2 linked regions of the Arabidopsis thaliana genome follow. The protein of the gene in region 1 interacts with the protein of each later gene in a pairwise test. Each region holds a gene or a part of one and is shown in the gene's direction. Other genes may lie near its edges.

Evidence for each region. Proteins that work in one complex are often made in the same cells at the same time.
Region 2: the proteins of TOM1 (region 1) and TOM2A interact in a protein complementation assay, tested with the Arabidopsis thaliana proteins (one study listed by BioGRID).

The regions. Positions count from the first base shown.
Region 1 is NC_003075.7:11,567,671-11,573,125, forward strand, and holds TOM1 (tobamovirus multiplication 1), read left to right. Parts: upstream 1-1,853; 5' UTR 1,854-2,253; coding exon 2,254-2,412; intron 2,413-2,718; coding exon 2,719-2,809; intron 2,810-2,910; coding exon 2,911-2,963; intron 2,964-3,072; coding exon 3,073-3,165; intron 3,166-3,256; coding exon 3,257-3,328; intron 3,329-3,594; coding exon 3,595-3,667; intron 3,668-3,786; coding exon 3,787-3,832; intron 3,833-3,938; coding exon 3,939-4,002; intron 4,003-4,109; coding exon 4,110-4,163; intron 4,164-4,249; coding exon 4,250-4,327; intron 4,328-4,400; coding exon 4,401-4,493; 3' UTR 4,494-4,925; downstream 4,926-5,455.
Region 2 is NC_003070.9:11,688,520-11,693,479, reverse strand, and holds TOM2A (tobamovirus multiplication 2A), read left to right. Parts: upstream 1-1,891; 5' UTR 1,892-2,114; exon of another isoform or gene 2,115-2,523; 5' UTR 2,524-2,606; coding exon 2,607-2,845; intron 2,846-2,951; coding exon 2,952-3,051; intron 3,052-3,217; coding exon 3,218-3,298; intron 3,299-3,426; coding exon 3,427-3,531; intron 3,532-3,685; coding exon 3,686-3,895; intron 3,896-3,979; coding exon 3,980-4,087; 3' UTR 4,088-4,416; downstream 4,417-4,960.

The DNA.
Region 1 (5,455 bases):
AATGAGCATATATTCGAACTTTTAAAATGAAAAAAGAAAAAAAAGTTTATGCTCAAGGAATTCCTTTTTCGTTTGATCCGGTCTGGTCTATATTCAAATTTGGATTCGGTTCTATTCCCGGTTTAAACGTGGTATATCGTCGAATACCTTTATATTCCACATATATATGGATCCTACGTAGCACAAGTCAAAAGTCAATCTTCAAATGCTCGAGTACTTTATTTTCAGGCCTCAACTTTGTTGATGCTAAAACAAAATTGTGCTTGTATATATTTTTTACTCTGAAACTGGTCTTGTTGGAACAGTGAACATGGATTTGAAGGTGACGTTATACAAAACTTGGACAAGAGCTCACATCTTGAATTCCAAAAAAGAGACGATGTTATCATATTTGTCACAGGTGACTAAGATTTTGCTCTTGGCTCTGTACGTAGTAGCCACCTGATTAATTCATCAACTAGAGTTTGAGAGCACACAACTCCAATATGGACCACTAATGAAAAGTTCCTTAGCTCTTGAATTCTGGTTATAAAAGATCTTGTTGAATTTTGTGGGTTTCTCAGTTGGTTAATGACTTCAACACGCTTATGGAGCTCGATACAAGGAGAGAAGAACCATTGCTTCGATTCCGAGATCATAGTGTTGGATACTTAATAATCTTCACACAGTCATGTACAACACATAGAATCCAGAGATCAATAAGAGAATGGAGCGAACGTATTTTGATGGCTGTTGAGTTCAACTACAGCAAACTCTTGCTGTCTCTATACAACAAGAACCCGTAGTTTGCGCTGCGGTGGTCTACAAAATTATGTCATGGCTTGGCCGTTTTCGGAATGCTAAAGATTTGTCTAGTTCTGACGAAATTTGAGGTGGAAAGTGATGATGAAGCCACATGGACGGTCAAAATCGAAATGATTGAAATTTTTGTTTATAATACACGTTCTACGTTTCTTTCATTAGATTCTTTGATGAATTCATCAGTTTTTGTTCGTTTCATTCTTTTGTTCCTTTTGTCGTAATTTTAAACGGAATAATACTATGATTTTATGAACCTTATATAACAACTAAAAGTGTCCGAACAAGCCCTTATTGACGCACACACGTTTTTATGTCTACAAAATTCCGGATATATCAAGCAAGTATCATCAACACGTCTCCAACACTCATACACGGTCAAGCCGCCTACCTAACTCACCTTGTTACAAAACAATATCTTATGGCATGTGTTACACGATTTCAAATATGTATATGAATAATTTATAATTCTTAAATCTTCATATTACTGAAATTAACTCGTTTTAACAGATTGAATGAAAATATATATTATCCTTCATTTGTATTCGTTTTTTTTTTGGTCACAATGACAATAATTCTACTATAAGAATATCGAAATATATATGGAGAATTCCTTAAAGATTAGATAGACCTACCAATTAAAAGCTGCTGGTACCACTAAGTTTTAGTTCGAACATTTGTATTAAACCCAACTCTACTCTTTTCGCATTTTCCATCTAGAATAACATCTAAAATATGTCTATAATATATTTTTATGGAAATAGATAAATAATTCATAATTATTATATGGTGACAAATCAAATTAAAAGACGTTTTGAAACTTCTTTTTTGACTAAACGAGCTCACAGTTCTCTTTCTCATCACATCTCTATCATTAGAAAAAAATATTGTTAATAATGTACATGTTTTTTTTTCTTTTTTTGGGGTCAAATTTGGATTCACTCAAAATAGTTAAAACATAGAATCCCATGTATCAAAAAAGAAAAAAATAACACCTAACCCTATAAATAAAAGATTTTATACAATAAAGATCTTATGTTTTTTTATCAGAGAAAAACATGTCTTGTTTTTATAATTCTGACTTCTTAGTAACAAATCATGCATATATGAAATTCAACAAATTTGAACCCAAAAATAGAGAGGTGAAATATTAAATGACCAAAACAAATGATAAAATAATTCAGAGGACGTGTGAGGGAACAAGCCAGAAGCTACACTATCGAAAAGATCGCATCAATCTCAACCGTTGGATCTTTCCTTCATCATCATCTCTCTCTCTCTCTTTCTCTTCCATCTGACCTGTGATGTGAGTTTGCAGATATTCAAACAACTCAATCCTCATTCCCTTTGTTTCGCCTCTCTGGATTTCGAAGAGCTGAGAGATTAGGGTTTCTCGATTTTCGAGATTAGAGTCTAATCCCCACCACCAGCATAGCTGATATCCTGGAGGAGAGAATGACGGATTCGGGTCTAATGATGCCGGCGGAGATTGCTGGAATTCTAACCACGGCGATTACGAGTTGGTGGGATGATGTTAATGAGTCAACTCAGTGGCAAGATGGGATCTTTTTCGCTCTTTGTGGTGCTTATGCTCTTGTTTCCGCCGTTGCTCTTGTATGGCTTTCAAATTTCTTCGTAATACATGAAATTTTTTGTTTGGGAGTGAAATTAGTTTTCTAAAAATGCTTGCTTTTAGGTTTATAGATCAATTTCTTAGCGTGTTTGACATATCTTTCCTCTTCTGTTTAACAAAAGAGGTGACCTTTGTTGTTGAGACATCGTTTTCTATCTAAATCATTGAGCTTTGAAATACTTACTCATTGTATAGTTTGATTGATTGTTTCTGTAGTTTATTTCTGGGTTTAGTTAGTTGTGTTGCAATTTCTGACCTTTTGTTTGAAATGGGATTATGATTGGTAGGTTCAACTGATAAGGATCCAAATGAGAGTGCCTGAGTATGGTTGGACTACTCAGAAGGTGTTTCATCTTATGAACTTTGTCGTCAATGGAGGTGATTATTGTGTGTTTCTATTGACCAATTGATAGGGTTTTTGTGTTTGTCAGCACCTTTGGGATTATGTTTTGTTGAATTTCTCTGTTGTGTGTGTGCAGTTCGTGCGGTTCTGTTTGGATTTCACATGCAAGTATTTCTTGTTCATCCCAAGGTGAGAGTGTTCTCAACTTAGTTCTGGTTTTTGCATGTTTGATTTGGAAATGGTGGATTTTGAAAGCTGCATCTTTTTAAGTATCTAATGTTTCTGTGAGGTAATGCAGGCTCTTTGCTGGGTACTATTGGATCTTCCTGGCCTTCTCTTTTTCTCGGCATACACGCTGCTTGTGCTGTTCTGGGCAGAGATATATCACCAGGTACCTAAAAAGAAATTTTTGATGTGTGTTGACTGTCTTTTAAACCTGCCAACAAGCTCTGAGTATATATTTTGTTGCCACTAATGAGCAGGCTAGAAGCTTACCTACAGATAAGCTGCGGATAACCTATATTTCTGTCAACGTGGCTGTATATTTGGCTCAGGTTCATATCTGATTTTTAGCTTCTTTTTTTTTTAATTCCCGTTTATGTTGTAGTTGCTGAGTTTCCTGAGATCCATTTATATACATCTTTTGCAATTATTGGTGTTTCGAAACTGTAGATTGTGCGTGTTTCCTACCTTGTCCTTCTTTCATTAACTCTGTAACCATTCTTTGCTACCAAGAATCTGTGTGACCTTAGTCACTAGACATTTTAGGTGAATCAAAAGATGTAGAATAAGTTTGACATGTATTTGATGTCTCTATCAGATTGGTATCTGGGCATACATCTGGGTACATGATAACAGCACTGTGGAGTTAGTTGGAAAGATATTTATCGCAGGTAGGTTCTTTGTCTGGTCAAGCAAGTTTGCTAAAACCTTTACTGCTTAATCTATAATATTCCCTCTCTTATCTAAAATCTATATTGACCTATTCTTTTGGTTAATCTTCTTCTTCTAGTTGTGTCTTTCATCGCCGCATTAGGCTTCTTGCTGTATGGAGGAAGGTCTGTGTTTTTGTTATTTTCATATGTCTCATCATCAAAATGTCTGCAAGTTCTTCATTGGCTTTACTGGGCCGTCTTTTCTTATGTGTTTTTTTTTATGCCATAGATTGTTTTTCATGCTAAGAAGGTTCCCTATCGAGTCAAAAGGAAGAAGGAAGAAACTCCACGAGGTACTTAGATTCATATATCTGTATGTGAATAATTTGTCTTATATAGTTCCATAAAACTTTGAACCCAAACATTTCTACCTTCAAATATTCGTCTCTTTTCATTGCAGGTTGGATCTGTGACAGCTATATGCTTCACCTGCTTCCTCATAAGATGCGTTGTGGTAAGCTCAAAATTAAATCTTTAGCTTCCGTCATTGTTTTAGTTATCCTGTGATGTGTTATTTAATGTATTCCATGCAAACATCAGGTGGCTGTATCAGCTTTTGACAAGGATTTAACACTTGATGTTCTTGATCATCCGGTTCTGAACTTAATCTACTATATGGTAAGTAACACTACATCTTCATTCTTTCTCTTTCTTATTCTCATTCATTAACTCGAAAAAAAAAAAACTACAGGTGGTAGAAGTACTTCCATCGGCACTAGTCCTCTTCATTCTCCGAAAGCTACCTCCAAAGAGAGTATCAGCTCAATACCATCCGATCCAGTAGAAACCTTTGTCACTGAACCATCTCACACGGTGAGTATGATGCTGTTTAAGAGAAGAGTAAAGATTAAAAAAAAAATTGGGGCAAAAAATGAAAGGTGAAGAAGAAATCGGTGTGGAATCTGCGTGAGTTTTTGGAATGCACGTTCATATAAATGATTTTACAGCTTTTAGTTGTTGTAGCCCGCCGTGACTTTTGGTTTGGTAGTTTATGTCTGTTAAAATTATAAATTGCTCTTCTGCTACTTTGAAAAATCTGGTCAGTAGTACAAGAGGTTTAACATTTGTTGCGTCGATGGTTGATTGTTATGTTATGTTTGGTAAAAAATAAACGAATGCTCTTCTCCAGTTTCCTTTATGCTTTTGTCAACTGTTACATCTTCTTCTCCTAATGATTTGTATATACTTAAGCTTTTCCATAAAACTAAGTCCCAGTGAAGAAAGAAACTACGTAAACCGAGAAAACCAAGCAAAAAGAGGGTTTACACAACATAAAATGATTAAATTGAGAATCATTTGCATTACCTCGGTATTACATGGGCTGGAAATAACTTATTGGGCCTTGGACCTGATTTTCCAAAAATGGTCGCTCACATTAATATTTATATGTGATTTTACAGTGACAACTCCACAAATCAGCCCTAACTCTGTTTTTGTTTTCTTCGACGACTGAGGTCTTTTCTCTCTCGCTCTCGTCTTCCTCTTGATTCTCTTCTTCTTTTCTGGAGTTTCGCTGCTTTTTTAGCCTGTAAAAATGACGAAAATTTTGTATGAATTTGTGTGCTGATATGCTCGAATCCACATGTTACGCTTGTGTTGAATAATCATATCATTTGGTTATCGAATCAATTCTAGTTCCAATTTACAAAAATCTATCAAACTCTTTACGTTTTCTGGAGTATGTTGAGCTTGAAACTAGTGACATAGATGAAACATTAAAAAAACATGGAATTGTTAAGTTTGTGA
Region 2 (4,960 bases), on another chromosome or scaffold:
AACAATTCATAACTAAGTTCTCTCATCTCGAGAGCTAACGCTTTATCATTTTGGTGTTTTAGGAACATCGGAGTGATTGTTACGTTTATTGATCGTTGATCGGAGAAGTGAAGTTGTTCAAATGAGAATCGGTGACTTTGATGTATTAATGTCCAACCCAAAATCTTAGTATTAACTCAAATTGGTACTTTTTAGTGTGTAAAGTAATCCCATTTACCTATTTATACTGATTTTTTTTATATAAAACAAACTTTTTTTGTTTATTTATGTTGTTGAGAGTGATTTTCCGACTACTAATCTGACTGCGTGTAAAGTAATCTGACTACTGATTTTTTTTATATAAAACAAACTTTTTTTGTTTATTTATGTTGTTGAGAGTGATTTTCCGACTACTAATCTGACTACTAATTTTTTGTAAAAATCTAAAAACCCAAAAACAATTCATAACTAAGTTCTCTCATCTCGAGAGCTAACGCTTTATCATTTTGGTGTTTTAGGAACATCGGAGTGATTGTTACGTTTATTGATCGTTGATCGGAGAAGTGAAGTTGTTCAAATGAGAATCGGTGACTTTGATGTATTAATGTCCAACCCAAAATCTTAGTATTAACTCAAATTGGTACTTTTTAGTGTGTAAAGTAATCCCATTTACCTATTTATACTGATTTTTTTTATATAAAACAAACTTTTTTTGTTTATTTATGTTGTTGAGAGTGATTTTCCGACTACTAATCTGACTGCGTGTAAAGTAATCTGACTACTGATTTTTTTTATATAAAACAAACTTTTTTTGTTTATTTATGTTGTTGAGAGTGATTTTCCGACTACTAATCTGACTGCGTGTAAAGTAATCTGACTACTGATTTTTTTTATATAAAACAAACTTTTTTTGTTTATTTATGTTGTTGAGAGTGATTTTCCGACTACTAATCTGACTACTAATTTTTTGTAAAAATCTAAAAACCCAAAAACAATTCATAACTAAGTTCTCTCATCTCGAGAGCTAACGCTTTATCATTTTGGTGTTTTAGGAACATCGGAGTGATTGTTACGTTTATTGATCGTTGATCGGAGAAGTGAAGTTGTTCAAATGAGAATCGGTGACTTTGATGTATTAATGTCCAACCCAAAATCTTAGTATTAACTCAAATTGGTACTTTTTAGTGTGTAAAGTAATCCCATTTACCTATTTATACTGATTTTTTTTATATAAAACAAACTTTTTTTGTTTATTTATGTTGTTGAGAGTGATTTTCCGAATAAAATTTTGTCAAAATCCTTCATACAATGTGATAATTTTTTTGGTTTTTCGAAATGATCATTATGAGATTATCAATTCTAACAATTAAACTTTGAAAACAACATTTTTATAAACCGAATTTCTAAATTATTTTTTGGATATTTTGACGGACAAGGTAATAAAAAATTGATAAGATATTTAACGCAGATCATAAACATACAAAATACGTTTTCTCGATAAAAATATTGTTTAACCCACAGAACAGTCTTGGTTCGTGAAAGCTCGTGACAATTTCGTAGGATAGACAAATCCTTTAAGCTGCCTTTTAGGCGATGAACAAAGCATTTTCATTTTCGTGTTAATTTCGCTCTATCATAGCTTCCTTTTGTAAACAAATCGAACGGACTACACAAATCTTCAATTATTTTCAGAAAAGATTTTATACGTAAATATTAAAAGTGCTTGTAAATTTAACTTCAAAAAAATAAAACTAAAGCTTTGTATTTTGTAATGTCTTGGAGTCTTTAGGACATATAGACATGTGTAGTACATTCCATTCCACACAAAACTAATTTTAATTGCCGACAGAAATCAGAAAGGATAAAGAATCTGTAAACTGAAATTATTCAACGACACACGTATTCGTAGTTGGGCTCCTGAAAAACTAAAATGGCCTATCTACCCATTGGACTTGTCACTTCATCTTCAAATTTAAATTGCCAGCTGGCATTTGTATGACACAGCAAAATTCCAAACAAATATTTTCCCATCCTTGGATTTTTCATCCCCTTCCTCTCGGCGACAAGAACAACAACAACACAAAAAAACTCAAAACCATCGCGAACATCGAAGAATCATCTCTCAACAATTCTCCGTAAGTTTCCATCATCTTCTTCTTCCACTCTCTCAATCTCGTGCTTCGATTGCGTAATTTCGATTTTGTTCTCCCGATCTGAACTTATTCGTTCGTAATTTTGTTCACGGAAAAAAAAATTGGTGGAATCATTTCTCTTAGATTACGAGATATCTCTGTGATTTGGTCGTTTTTTATGTCGATTAGAGAAAATTAATTGGTGTATCTCTCATTCTCAGCTCTATGAGAGGCTTGATTCGTGTGTATAGCAATTGAATTTGGGCAGGACATCACAATTTCATTGAAGTTTGATTTTTAGTCAAAATTCATTTCTTAGTTTTGATGATATTTTAGATAGAATCTTTATCATTGATCTATCTTTGGGATTGTTATTATGAACTCATTGAAATTTAGTTTTTTGTTCTTTTAGGATAATTCTTTGGACTGATGAATTAAAGGGAAACGCTGAGTGTAAATCATACAACAGTTCTAAGTCGTGAAAACAAAAAAAAGATGGCTTGTAGAGGTTGTTTGGAGTGTTTGTTGAAGTTACTCAACTTTCTCCTGGCTGTTGCTGGACTTGGCATGATTGGTTATGGTATCTATTTATTCGTTGAGTACAAGAGAGTTACCGATAATTCTGTTACATTCGATTTGACTAATGGAGATCAAAGTTACGTTTCGTTTGGGAGGCCTATTCTTATGGCTGTGTCACTGTCTTCTAATATCTTTGACAATCTTCCCAAAGCGTGGTATGTGATTATCGTCTTTTACTTTATATATTGGGTTCAAAAACAGAGTCTTGGTTTGTTGCACTTCTTTAGTTCTTATGTTCTTTGATTTTGTTTTATCATGCAGGTTCATATACTTGTTCATTGGTATTGGTGTGGCTCTCTTTGTTATTTCTTGCTGTGGCTGTGTTGGTACTTGTTCGAGGAGTGTCTGCTGCTTATCTTGCGTATCCTAATTACTTAACTTGCTTTTCTTATCCAACATTTCCTGTTAGATAAATACTGCCTTGACCTTTAGTTATATGCTCAGGTTATTGGTATCTTTGCTTAGTTATGATAGGATCCTTAAGCAAACTAAAAGTCTTAACCTTTCATTTCCTTAATTGAGAATAGTACTCTCTTCTTCTGATCTTGTTGATCTTGGTGGAGCTTGGATTCGCAGCATTTATTTTCTTCGATAACAGCTGGAGAGATGTGAGTTATCTTCTTTTTTTGTCTGTTTCCCTCTTGGGTTAGACTTCATGTTGCCTTATAACTTGACATGATCTGCAGACAGGACTGCACAAGTACTTAGCTAACCGTTTTGTATTATTGTTCTCTAGGAACTTCCTTCTGACAGGACTGGAAACTTCGATACGATATATAATTTCCTTAGAGAGAACTGGAAGATTGTAAGATGGGTAGCTCTAGGAGCAGTTGTTTTCGAGGTAATAGCAAGCACAAGTTCAGACTATCATTGAAAATCAAGAACAAACTATCTTTGAAAGATAAATATCCCTGCGGAAGTGTTTGTAGACTGTTGTATGGCAATAGAAACATGTCATCTTTAAAAACTCTTAATGATGTCTTGTTTACTCGCAGGCTTTACTCTTCTTGCTTGCCCTTATGGTCAGGGCAGCTAATACACCAGCAGAGTATGACAGTGATGATGAATATCTTGCTCCAAGGCAACAAATCAGGCAGCCATTCATCAACCGCCAAGCCGCCCCTGTCACTGGTGTCCCAGTTGCTCCTACTTTGGACCAACGCCCAAGCCGCAGTGACCCTTGGAGTGCACGTATGAGGGAAAAGGTAACAAGATTATAACGTGCTGAAATTAAAAAAAAGCATTAGTGCGATACCGAGATTCACTGATTGCTTTTTTTTTTGAAACAGTATGGGCTTGACACATCTGAGTTCACATACAATCCCTCAGAGTCACACCGGTTCCAGCAAATGCCAGCGCAACCAAACGAAGAAAAGGGCCGATGCACCATCATGTGAGTCCATTTTAAAAGTCTTGAAGAGTTCAGTTAATTCTCTTTTCCTGTGTCTTTATTATTTCTGCGTGTAACAATCAAGAGTGTCAGTAAAAGTAGGATTCTTGTTTCTGGGTTGATGATGACTCTAGCATTTGAGATCTCTAATCAACCTAGTCACGGTCTCAAAACTCATTTGTTGTGTCTGTGTAGTCTTTTGTAAGGATTCACCATTATGAATATTCATCTTGGTTCCCAGTCTGATCCAGTCCTATGTTTCTTATTATATATAAAAAATTCACTTTCTTCATGTTACACGCCCAGAATTTTCGCGTGCTCTACATTTTAGCCAATAATAATGCAGATTAAGTGCTATTTTAGAAACTTTAACATCCATATGAGAAAGTTGGGTATGAAGAAGATGCATAAGGTTTGCTCTGCTCATAGATCCTTTTTTTTTTTTTTGAATAAAATGTCAAATTATATTCAAAAGAAAAATATACTTTTTACATCAGCTTTTTTGAGATTTTGATAATAAAAGAAAACAGAACTAGAACAAAAACAGAGTAAATAGAATGGAGAGAGCAAAAACAGAGTCTTCTTTCTTGGAGGATGCTAAGGACGCATGGCGAACCATACTTGCAGCCCCTTTTCGAGTCGAAGTTCCCCTTTCTTTTGGATTGTCGATAGCTGGTTTCTAATTGTCTTGTCTATCTGTCGCATGAGGTTTGAAGCTGAACGTGACGCCTCACCGTGATTGAATGAATGGAGACTTGGAATGTGTACCTAGATAAGAAATTCTGGATGCAATCAGGCTGAGAATCAGATATGTAATTCACCACAGCAGACCAATCTGTGGAAAAACCATCTTTGTACACATTCTTTGCGATTGAAGTCC